Drosophila melanogaster: one gene and its partners. The protein of the gene in region 3 interacts with the protein of the main gene of each other region in a pairwise test. Each region holds a gene or a part of one and is shown on either strand. Other genes may lie near its edges.

Region 1 (4,314 bases), on a different chromosome or scaffold from region 3:
CTGTGTCTTCAAGGTTCGCCTTTAGAAGTCAAATGGCTCGAAGAAGTCTAAGCGGAATGTAGAATGTAGCCAAATATAGAACACCTACCACAGATCGCATTAGTTTCTTTCTTTCCTACGATATTTACTCCTTCAAAATCGATGCGCAAATGGTTTTTAAGGACCAGCGCCTGCGCAGCACTTGACCAAATTCAGGTAACGGCGAATCTTATTTTATCCACTTCAACCACATACGATAGAAAATATTAGGGGAGAGATGTGTGCGTGACAATTAGATAGTGGATTGTACATCCGATAGCTCAGGTAAACAACAACCAAACATACCTAAAACTTAAACAACTCTTTAATTTAACGTAAAAATAATCGATGACATTTTATGAGCGAGTTCCGAGAAAACGTTTAATAAATTATTACCCCATTGGGTGTTCGTGTTCGCACAACATAAGACTCTCATCTCTACATTTTATGAGTGAAACATTCGTTTGAGTGAAAGTCGATTTCCAACCCTGTTATGATTTGGCGGGAAACTTAAATACTTGGATGAAATTTTTTGTATAAAGAGACATTTCATATTTTGTATTTGTAGTACTTAAATTCTAGTTTTCTAGTTTGCAATGCCTCGTTCATCGTTATTATGGCCTGAGTGATTTCGAACTTTCTTTAGAGCCGTATGCTTAGTTCTGTTTTTTTGAAGACTTCAATGAGATGTTCATTAAATCGTAGAGTGACAAATGCAGGAATATCAAATGACGTAATAGTAGAAGTCAAGGGTTTAGAAATGATTTGCCACGGTGCTCTGTTGTTCGCCGCGGTTTACTCGCAGGTTGCCCATGCATCCCTCAAACAGGATGTCTGCGATGGCCTTTCGTGCCAGAATCCGTTGCGTGGGGGACATTTCCTCGTACTGGATAGCCCAGGATCTGGCCAGAACTTCGGAGGACTCGCTGAGTTGCATGGGTGCAGTTCCTCGTTCGTTCTCGGGATCTGTTTGAATCGAGGATGTGGGTTCTTTCGTTTCCAATGAATTTCCCAAACTATTTTCCTCTTTGACTTCACACTGCCCTTCTTCCGGCTCTATGATCTCCAATTTTGGACTGAGCAGGGAACCCTCTTCGGATTGCGGGGCGGTCGGTTCGGACTGGTAGTTGAAAGCGTTATCATCCTTGATCGGCCAATCACAAACGCTTTCCGTGTTGAGATCTGGATTTTTCAAGGGGTATTTGTCCTATGAGGTACACAATTTATTTATTTTTAAGTATCATTCAATCATTGAGAATGTAATCTTACATCCTTTTCCCTGCGAAAATCTTGCTTCTGTCTGCCGCCCCGACCTTTTCTGGTCCTGTGCTGGAAGGTCTCCTGGGTGAGGAGAAATCCCATGTAGTCGTAGAACCAGAGCGTCGGCTTACAGAGATCGGAGTGCAGCCCCAGCTCCTTCTGCTTGAGGATTCGCATCTGCTCCCGCCTGTAATTGGTGCGAAATATGTTGATGCGCCTGCCGACTTCTGTGCGCGTAGCGTTCGGCTGTATCTCCCGTAGTTTCCTCTCCAGCAACTCATACGCCCGGTTTCGCAGCTCCTTGTTCCGGTAATTGAGGTGGTGGACGTCCCACAGCTCCGGCATTCCCTGATAAAGGGCCAGAAACTCGCGCCAGAACTGCCGTTTGCCCGCACTAAACCGATCTGGCAGTGCAGCTGCCATCTGCCAGCACAGCATTCAGAAAGATACATTTAATTACCATATCCATTGGCATATAAACATAAATATTTACTTTTTCTGTTGTTCAAGCCAATCAGCTGTTGTTGATTACAGTTGGCCAGAGTTGCCACTTCTAGCGTCTAGTGTTGGTAAACACCTCACATACTCCCACTGATTGTTGTAGTTGCTCTGGATCTGGATGCTCATATATGTATAAACTTATTTCCACCACCTGACGACCGGCGTTATGCTCTCCTCAAGCGACAATCACAAACTGAATTGATGTAGAGCCGAAACGGGCGGGTGTGTGTGCATGTGTCTCGATTGAGTGATTGATTAGCCGACTGACCCGATGGGCATGTGCATGTGTGCGTGTGGAAATGCACAATAAATCATTTGATTCCCACATACTGCTTGAAAACAAAAACGTAGCTGAATCCGATTTTCTTATTGTATTAGTTTTAATTATATGGATTAAACAATGACTTACAGCTCCCCCGCAATTTAGGTGCACGTGTGTGCGGGAGAGGAAAGCAGCAAATATTCAGACTTTAACTAAGGGCAGACCTGCGCACTTACCCATCTTAGCCCCAATCAAGATTGTCGGCATAAGGAAATCATCAGCAAAGTATGAATTTATTTTAACTCGCTCTCCAAAATTTCACACTGATCAGGGAAAATTTTAAAATACACTCTGAATCAGGGAAATTCTCTCTTTAACAAGATAGAATTCAATGATTGACCTCTTTGTTCCGTTATTTTCATTTACATGCGCTTTGTCTCTTTCTCTCTTCTGGCTCGCCTGTGTGTGTGTGTGTGGGTGACCTCCCGCCCGGCAAAAAAAGAAGAAGAAGCCCAACTAAGGGCAGACATGCGCACTTCGAAAAAAAAACAATTAGCGCGTATATTTAGCCGACTTTTTGTTCTGGCGAGAATGTGTGGAAGGAAATGTAGCTGTTATAACATACAACACAGGTCAAAATAATAGGGTTACAGTCGGGAGCATAGTATAAAATAGTTCCAACAGACCAATTGACAATTGACATTAGCTCATTCATCACAATATTTTATAACCACATCAAATTTACTCACTAGAAACTTGGTTTGATTGCGTTTATTTGGTTCGAATACAAATTATGTTCACCTTAGATCTAATGATTGATTGCATCCGACCGATGTGCATCTTCTAGATGCATCAGTTTGCAAAGATTACACTCTTTGGCTGCAGCTATTCCTCCTCCTCTTCGTTCTCCTTCATGTGGCGCTCACTGTTTGGAGCATTCTACGGCACATTGTCATCCATTTCGCGCATCACTTCATCGGCTCGTGTGATCAGCTCAATCAGCCGGTAGTTCTCCTTGTACAGAGCAAACTCCTCGAGTAGCTTTAGGTACTTGCGTGCATCGGCGCAGCTGATGACACTGGACCCACTTTCTTGGCCGGATCCCCCATTGTTGTTATCGTCTTGGGCGGACTCATAGCGACGTTTGGTGCCCTGGCGAGGATTCAGCGAGTTTTCAACTGCCGCAGGCGAACTCACCTTTCGCTGCCGCATCTGCTCGATGTACTCCATCTCGTCCTCCACATTGGCCGCCAGAACCTCGGCCAGCGAGGTGACACTGGAGCGACCATTGTTCGCGTCTTCATCGAGATCCGCTGGGTCTTGGTCCAGTTCCGATTCCAGCTCAGCCTCTGGCTCCACTTTTATGTGCACTGTAGGCGGAATTTCAAGATCCTTTTCCCTTTGTGCTCGGTCATCGTTCTCCTGGAGCTCCGCCTCGGGCTGCTTCGCCAGGAGCTCTTCCGGGTCCTTGGGCTCCACTTTGATTTCCTTTTCCTGCTTGATCTCTAGTTTGGGCGGCGGTACCACCGGTCCTTTGTCCTGCTGCTGTGGGGCAGGAATCTTGGTGATGCTCTGAGCGAGCGTGGCTAGTGGTATGATGGTCATGGTCATGGGCTGTCCGCCCGCTTGCGTCGGAACAATGGGTGTGGCCAGGAGAACTTTTTGAGTGGTGCCTGGCGGTGTGTTAGCTTGGAGGGGCAGTCTAACTAGAGGCGGCAAGGGCTTCAGAGCCCTGGCAAAATTTAGTTCGCTTAGTGAGGGCTTGACATCAGGCTCCTCCTCCAGATCATCCTCGCCGCTAATACCGCCACCGTCGACATCCACCTCGTCATCCTCGTCTTCTACATAGCTGCGGGGATGGCTGCTCACCGGGCTGCCCAAGCTGACCTCTTCGTCATCCTCCTCGCCGTTCCGTGGCCCACTTTCCGGCATGCTTTCCGACATGACGTCCTTGACGATGTCCTTGATCTGCACCGAGTAGCCCTGCGTGTAGCCTATCTTCAACAGTCTGGTGTCGCTGTGTTGGATGCTGTAGGTGCGTCTGAACTTGTCGCACCACTCCTGGTGCGGAAAGAAATGTGCCAGGTTCATGGAGCTCTTGAACTGCAGCGCCATCTTCTGGATGAGTCCGTCGGAGATGCTGAAGTCCTTGTAGTACATCATGCGGCGTATCCAATCGTACACGGCCTTGCCCAACATCGAGACCCTGACGGTCTTCGTCTCCATGGTCTTGGCGTCCTGGCTCCTGCGGGTTCGCTGATCCCACGCGTTCA
Region 2 (3,923 bases), 6.4 Mb from region 3:
TGTACATTTTAGTACTTTTTTTTATTACTGTCGTTTTGCGGTATTTTTCTGCGGCCACATTGAGCGCCAATGCGAACAAAAAGGGAAACTTTGATTGCAGTTTTTAATGAAATTATTATAATCTTAGGGTAAATTTTATTAATAATCTAAGGTCGCTGGGTTATAACTAGCTTCGTGCAAGGTTATTTTGTGGCCAAAAGCAAAACTTTGCCATTGTGTGGTAACTACATTGTAAACTTGAGTAAATTGTGTGCAATTCTTGTCGAAGAAACGTTATCTTAATAATTATAATAATGACTCAATAAATTTTGTAAACAGTTGCCCCAAGATCATTTTAAACATATTTCATTTTAATCATTGAAATTCATAAATTTGGCGCCCCATAATGCTTAGCTCGCGACTTTTCTTGCTTTCACTCACATTCATTCGATAATACTCGATAAATTCCTGCTTTCCTCAAATTTTAGACAAATTAAGGAAATCCTATGATACGAAAATACCTTCCAATTTTCATAATAATGGAAACAGCTTAAATCAGGAATAAACACAGAATTATTTAGAAAGTGCCAGTAAATTCGATTCCTATCGGTAACGTTTATTTGCAGTGCCAACTATCGGTAACGTTCAATTGCAGAAATACGTGCAACATTTGATTGGAATTGCTATTTAAATTTCCCAGTTCTCCGCCGCCTAATCCCCATCAGAGTTATCGCCCGGAGTGGGATTTACGGGTCGAATCATCATCCGCGAGCTCTTCGGTTTATCGGTCCCGGTCCGCCAGTTCATCCAGATAATGGCTGGACTTGCTCTCTGGTGGACACCATGTTCTCCATTCAGATTGCACTGTGTGCAGCGATCAAACCACCAGCCACCACCGTAATCCTCGCCACAGGTGGAATCTGCCGATTTCGCGTGGTTCCTTCGCCGATCGTAAGTGCTGAAATCCATCCGATTGTGCTGCTCCAGAGCGTCCGGTAGTGAACCACGGAATTCACCAGCCACCGAAAGCTGATAGTTATAACTCTCGCTGTCTAGCCAGAAGAGTGGATACTCCGCCCAATCCAGCGGTTCCCCTGCCTCCTGCAGCTCAATTCTCAGCTCATGATCGTCGCGGTAGAGAATCTTGTGCGCGAACTCGTTGCCAAACCAGAAGTCTCGGGATAAGTTACCAAAACCCGCGCGATACTCGTCCCAGCTGCGATTGAAATTTTCGTGCGGATCGAAGGAGCCGCCTCTACTCTGGATCACTGTCCAGGCGGGGCCGTCGGTGGCGAAGGCGCAATAACGCTCGTACAAATCACGCTGGACTTCATTGCGCTCCGGAACCAGAAACCTATAGACGCCATCCACCCGGACACCTTCGTCAAGCTCATGGCAATCGGATTTGGCGGGCTGGTAAAAGTCTGGAAAATGTCACCGGGTGAGTCGATGAAACTTGAAAATGATACACTATAACTTGCCCACTTTCGGCTCGTCCTTTTCTTCAGTAAGTTCCTTTGGTAAGGTCTGGCTTGGGGAAGGTTCTTGGCACACTTTAGTTGACCACTCTTTGAGTTCCAGCAAATTCGTAGATATTCTTTCTTCCTGGTTCAGTCGCTCCAGCAACAAATTTAGACGTTCAGATAGAACGGCAAGGGGATCTTCTTTGGAGGAGTATCTTCCAGGTACTTGCACAACTGCATCGGCGAGTAACACCACCTTGCTGAGCACGCGATGCAGATTTATCTCCAAGCCCCTTAGCTTTAGTGCCTGTGCAGCCAAAGTCTTTCTAATCAAGACTAGCTCCTCCAAGGATTTAAAGCCTATATCAGAATTCCCAATCCGATTTAGAGAACCCGTGCTTCCCAGAAACACACAGCTCCAGGCCAGCAGAAAAAGCAATGAAAACTTCTTGAAAGGGAGTCAGTATCCTTAAAGCCGCCAGTGCGTTGTCCGCCCTTACCATCATTTCGATTCCAAGTTCAATCGCCCACTGAAGTCAACTGGTGAAGTCAGCTAGTGAAACTATTCGACACACATGTTGGCCAGATTCCACCATCTGGCGATGGTGGTCCCAGCATATCACTTCTGGCGCTCCATGTGTCATTTTTAAGAATATATAATTCTGTATTTTTGCGGTCCTTAGTTAATCTTCACATTTCTGTTGTATTTCTTTTCAAGTTTTAACGAATTAAACTGGATTCTAGCTTTGCGGTGAAACATACGCAGTAGATAGTAAAAACGAAATTAGAATAAACATTTTCACGGACATAGCCGCGCTAGGTTTCCTTATGGTTGTTGTTTTTTGTTTTTGTTTTTTTTTTTGTGTTTTATAGTATTAATTGCTACAATTAGCCGCTAACGTGTTTATAAGGTAGAAATGAAAACGCCTAAGCAACTAAAATACATATACATACATTTATCGTTCGATCCATTTTCACACACCGCCTTTCGAATTCCGCTCTATACATTTACAGCTGATAAACTTTTTAAAATATAAGAAAAACACGGCCCCAACGCCGACTGATTACTTGCTGGGCTAAAGGCTAATGGTTGGTTAGCTAATGGTTAAGCTTGATCAATTTACAGATAATTGCCTTCTATAGCTTAGTTGTTATATCGTTTGTGTGCAGGTGCGAATACATTTCAAATCTTCAGCTAACTGCTCTCTTCGGCATTTACACGTTAATGTATGCATATGGTATATATTTAAATGTTTTCGTATATATATATATATTTAGATTAGCTTAATATTTTTATCATTAGCGCACTTCGGCTTGAAGCCCAAGTGGGTTTGTTGTGGTGCCTACTTAACCGCTGACCAGTGCTCCAACCGACCGCATCCACCACGTCCACGCGACGTGGTGGGTGCGTTCGATGATTTCTTGATCGTTGGTTAGTGTACAATTATCAGTAACTGCTTAGCTCTATGCGTTTAGCTTGTATTTACATTGTTTCAAGATTTTCGCTTCTGCTTCGTGTTTGTTTTGTTGTGTACTTGTGTGTAGCGTATCTGTGTTTTTTTTTTTTGTTGTGGGCTCGTAGAACTAAATAACTTAGACGATTGCTTAGAGTACGCAATGCTGTTGTGAGTGCAAACCAAACCGTTTGAAACAAATTAAAATTTGTTGGTCTGCTCCGGCTGATTTGTGGGTGTGTGTGTGTTGTGGCTTTAAAAATTGACAAATCGTTTAAAAGTCTTAAATAACGAAAACTTTGGATTTTGGTCTTAGATGCGTCTGCTGCGAACACCCTCGGTCCGTGTCTTCCACTCCGGATCGTTGGGATCGTCGTCCTCGAAGGGATCCTCGCCCATATCCTCCTCTAGCGCCTCCGGATCAGCGAGATAGGCATCGATCGCCGAGTCGTAAAGCTCATGCTCGACATCTGGTGTCGACGGCTCCTCGTCATCCAGCGGCGCCAGATGATGCTTGGGATAGTCGTCATCCTCGTCTTCTAGCAGCATCTCTTCCTCTTCCGGCTCAGAAATTCCACCTTCATTTGCCGCATCTATTCCGTTCAACTTCGCCGCCGCAGGGTGGCCATTGAGCTGGCCATTTAGCTGACCATTTGGCTTAATCTTGCACTTGCTGCTGCGCCGACTGCCGCTGCCTCCTGTGAAGGTGTTCCCACCATCACAGTTCGAGGATATCGACTTGCTTTTGGCCCGCTTTGAGACGGTCATTGACCTGGGCGGCGCATATGTCTCGGCTAGCAATCGCTGGTAGACCTCGTCGGAGAGCGGAAAGTTCAAGGGCTCAAAGGGAGATGGCATCACAGTGTAAGACTATACAAAAAGGAAAAGGGTTTCAATTAGAAAACTATTCTATACAATCAGTATTTGAACATTCAAAGCAGTTTGAAAACAAAATTCGGCAAAAGTAATAGGCACAACCAGAATTTATTTTATATATGAGTTCAACAAATGTGAAACTTGGACATCG
Region 3 (3,795 bases):
ATCAGGGCGCAGCAGCCCGTGGAACTTAATGCCATGGGCTACCTGTCCATTTCGCTGGACACCTTTAAACAGGTAAAATGCAAACACCACGTATACTTTATATGACATTATGTGAATTTCGCTTTCAACTGCAGCTGATGAGCGTCTCCTACCGGGTTATAACCATGCTCATGCAGATGATTCAGTAGACAGCAAACACAAGCACGGAGTTTGCAAAATCGGGACGCTTTAATCGCACTACGCTAGTAACTATCTTTCTATATAACTAGATCACTTGGGATCCGAGGGCAGCTTGAAGCCCACCAAATCGGCGGTATCCCTTACGGATCTCTCGCCCCTTCCGTGATATTCCTTGTAGAGCTCCAAGTACCGGCGCTGGCTGGCTAGGTAGGTCAGGTAGGTTTGACCCAGGAAAGTCGCTTCGTTGCGCGCCTTGCAGAATTGTTGTTCCGTGGTGGCGAACTTCTTGTATTGCGCCAAAATGTAGCGCGCGGCCAGAGAGTCCTTGATGCAGCCATTTGGAGATGCCTGGCGCAATTCGTGCAGCAGGGAGCGCAGCACCTTGGTTCCCGCCATTCTAAACACAAAATATTAATTGCATTTGCAAGAAACTATAAACAATCAACGACTTACGTGATTTTTAAGAAAATTCCAATTGCTTCTGCCGAACAGCTGTTCTCAACAGAGTTGCCACCTAGTCATACAATGAATATACAGTGATCACTCTCACAAATTGACACTTTGAAAAATAACACTGGATCTTATTTTTTATAATTATCAATAAATCTGAAAAATCATCAAAAGTTTGACTACGAGCACAGTAAAACTCTGTGACAAACGAAATATTTAAAATTTATTTATTTTAATTATATTATATTCTCACTTTTGAAATCGTTTTGCTATAAATGTCTAAAAGTCGAACGGTCTGATTGGAAAACAAGAACAACCAATAAGTAAAGTACACAATCCAACTGGACTGTCAAACTAAAAATACAAACAGTAAATCCAGTTGGAAAAAACCAATTTATTTTAAAAGTTATTTAGCAGTACACCGAACTCGTTGCGTGGGCTGTTTACTTCCTGGGCTTGCCAGCGGCTGGCTTCTGGCCGGGCTTCTTGCCAGCGGCTCCCTTGGCGCCAGCACCACCCTTGGTGACCTTGCCGGCACCGGCCTTGGTTCCCTTGGCTCCAGCAGCGGGCTTCTTCTTGGGCTCGGGCTTGGCCTTGGGGGCCTTCACCGGCTTGACGAGCGCCTCGCGCTGGCTCTTCAGGGCCTTGACGATCTTCTGCTCCTCGATGAGGAAGGCGCGCACGATACGCTCGCGCAGGCAGCTGTGGCACAGCACTCCACCGTAGGTCCTGGACACGGTCTTCAGGCGCTTGGACATGCGGGGGCGCTCGCTGGGGCGGGAGGGGGTGATACCCTTCAACTTCTCCTTGCACTGGCCGCAACGGGGCACGGTGGGGTTCTTCTTCACATACTGGTAAACCAGACGACCACCGGGCGTGCGAACACTGTAAATTGCAAATGTGCGTTATTTTTCATATTGGTGAGGTGTATTGCAGTTGGATAGTTACATGCGCCGCTTGTTGGAGCGTGTGTTGTAGGACAGGCGTCTCCGGAGCGTCAGACGTTGGACCATTTTGCTGTTGTTGTTGCTGCTTGTCGTGGCGATTCGTGGGTTACATGTGCAAAAGCGGTGAAAATCATTATTAGTTTGGAGTTACACTAGGGTGGGTGCAGTTTGGGCTGCATTTGGTGGTATATTTTCACAATTTTTTCACACATTTCGGCGAATTTGCGTGAAATTGTTAATTGAACACGTGCATACCTCAAAGAGACGAAACTAGAAAGAAAGGTGGCAACCCTGTTCGCGCACGACGTGAACTTGGCTGCGCTGCCCACTGTACGACACTTTCGAGCACTGCAGACCTTGCCAGATTGCCATGAAAACATGGGCTTATGGGGGTTGCAAATTATTTATTTTTTGTTAGAAAAGTTAGGATTTTATACACAATTTAATGCTATATTCTTTTGGTTAAGTATGCTTTGGCTAAGTATATGCGTATTAATATGAGGTTAAATAATGCGTTTTATAAATATTGATCCCTTTTACTACGCCCCTGCGATAACCTGTTGTTGTTTTGCTTGCGATGAAATCTGTTATCAAACCGCGAAAAGATAACATTTAATTGCAGCAATATGAGCAAAACTAGCAACAGTAAGTGTTTCTCAAAATTTCAAAGAGATCCACTTAAATATTTCTTATTTAATAGTCATGCGTTTGGCGCTGCTGCAGCTCAAGGGTTCCAAGGACAAAGTGGCCAATGTCCAAAACGCCGTCACCAAAATCGAGGCGGCGGTCAAGGAGCATAAACCCCGATTGATCACTCTGCCGGAGTGCTTTAATGCTCCATACGGCACCAAGTACTTTCGGGAGTACTCCGAGACCATTCCCGATGGCTATACCTCGCAACAGCTCTCCAATTTGGCCAGGAAGCACCAGGTGTACATCGTGGGCGGAACAATCCCTGAACTGGGCGAAAACGATGCCATCTACAACACCTGCACGGTTTGGTCACCCACTGGTGACCTTGTGGCCAAGCATCGCAAGATGCATCTCTTTGACATAGATGTCAAGGGTGGCATTCGCTTCAAGGAGTCGGAAACGCTGTCCGCAGGCAATGATTTCACCATCATCAACGTAGATGGCCACAAGATTGGCATCGGCATCTGCTACGATATTCGATTCGAGGAGATGGCGAGGCTCTATCGCAACGCAGGCTGCGAGATGATCATCTATCCGGCTGCATTCAACATGACCACTGGTCCACTGCACTGGGAGCTATTGCAGCGATCCCGTGCCAATGACAACCAACTCTTTGTGGTCACAACATCACCAGCCCGTGACACAAGCGCCGAGTATGTAGCCTATGGCCATTCCATGGTGGTGAATCCATGGGCCAAGGTGCAGCAGAGTGCCAGTGAAGGCGAGGAAATCGTGGTGGCCGATATAGATTTCTCCGAGGTGGAGCAGGTGCGTCAGCAGATTCCCGTCTTTGGGCAAAGACGTCTAGATCTGTACGCCACCGAAAGGAAGGCCAAATAAAGGATTGCTTTAAATGGGAAATGGGAAATCTTCAAAAATTCAAGAATCTGTCGTTTTAAGCACCTTTAAAGCATTGCATTTATGTTATTTGATTGTATATAAAATTTATTAGGCCTACACACACATATAACATTGATTTCTGTCGAAAAACTATTGCATTTTATCTAGCTGCTGATTATCGCAGGCAGGAGTTACTTCGGATGCAGGTGATTGCACGTAGTGGGGTCGCTGGGCCTGGTCGAAAAGTGCTCGTATGGCTTCATCGGTGGCCATCAGGGGCTGACTAATGAATTCCAAGGCCTGGTGGGACGGTAATAAGGTGTACCATTAACTGGATGTTTGAATCACTTTAACTATCGCTGTACTTACCCTAACCGCGTACTTCTCCGCCTCACAAAGTGGACTTGTGCTGGCGCTGGACAACTTTAGTGTCTCCTCGGGAATGCCCACGCCAGTGTGCAGGACCATGCGTTGGAGAATGTTAAGGTTTTCGGCACTTAGGCTGATTACATCGGTGGCGGGCAGGTTGAGGAAACGAATCTTGGCCAGGAACTTCAGTTGCTTAAGCATATCTAGCTGAATTTCGCGGATCTGATGGGTGGCATGAAGCAGTTGCTTCGTTGACTCGTTCAATAGCTGATTCTTCTGCGTGAGATCGGCTTTCCAGCGGGCTAACTCCTCAACC

What was found. Proteins that work in one complex are often made in the same cells at the same time.
Region 1: the proteins of RpL34b (region 3) and CG3386 interact in a two-hybrid assay, tested with the Drosophila melanogaster proteins (one large-scale study listed by BioGRID).
Region 2: the proteins of RpL34b (region 3) and CG9593 interact in a two-hybrid assay, tested with the Drosophila melanogaster proteins (one large-scale study listed by BioGRID).

Annotation. Positions count from the first base shown.
Region 1 is NT_037436.4:680,086-684,399, forward strand, and holds CG3386 (uncharacterized protein), read right to left. Parts: upstream 2,386-4,314; 5' UTR 2,278-2,385; intron 2,235-2,277; exon of another isoform or gene 2,189-2,234; intron 2,109-2,188; 5' UTR 1,772-2,108; intron 1,702-1,771; coding exon 1,288-1,701; intron 1,226-1,287; coding exon 773-1,225; 3' UTR 577-772; downstream 1-576. Other genes in the region: ebd1 (earthbound 1), read right to left, coding at 2,981-4,314.
Region 2 is NT_033777.3:15,800,307-15,804,229, reverse strand, and holds CG9593 (uncharacterized protein), read right to left. Parts: upstream 1,956-3,923; 5' UTR 1,949-1,955; coding exon 1,943-1,948; intron 1,891-1,942; coding exon 1,461-1,890; intron 1,404-1,460; coding exon 691-1,403; 3' UTR 577-690; downstream 1-576. Other genes in the region: nsl1 (non-specific lethal 1), read right to left, coding at 3,209-3,766.
Region 3 is NT_033777.3:9,399,364-9,403,158, forward strand, and holds RpL34b (ribosomal protein L34b), read right to left. Parts: upstream 1,864-3,795; 5' UTR 1,833-1,863; exon of another isoform or gene 1,660-1,832; 5' UTR 1,644-1,659; coding exon 1,579-1,643; intron 1,516-1,578; coding exon 1,074-1,515; 3' UTR 874-1,073; downstream 1-873. Other genes in the region: Or85f (odorant receptor 85f), read left to right, coding at 1-72, 135-188; CG34117 (uncharacterized protein), read right to left, coding at 271-576; CG8132 (uncharacterized protein), read left to right, coding at 2,204-2,222, 2,278-3,110; CG9356 (uncharacterized protein), read right to left, coding at 3,261-3,410, 3,480-3,795.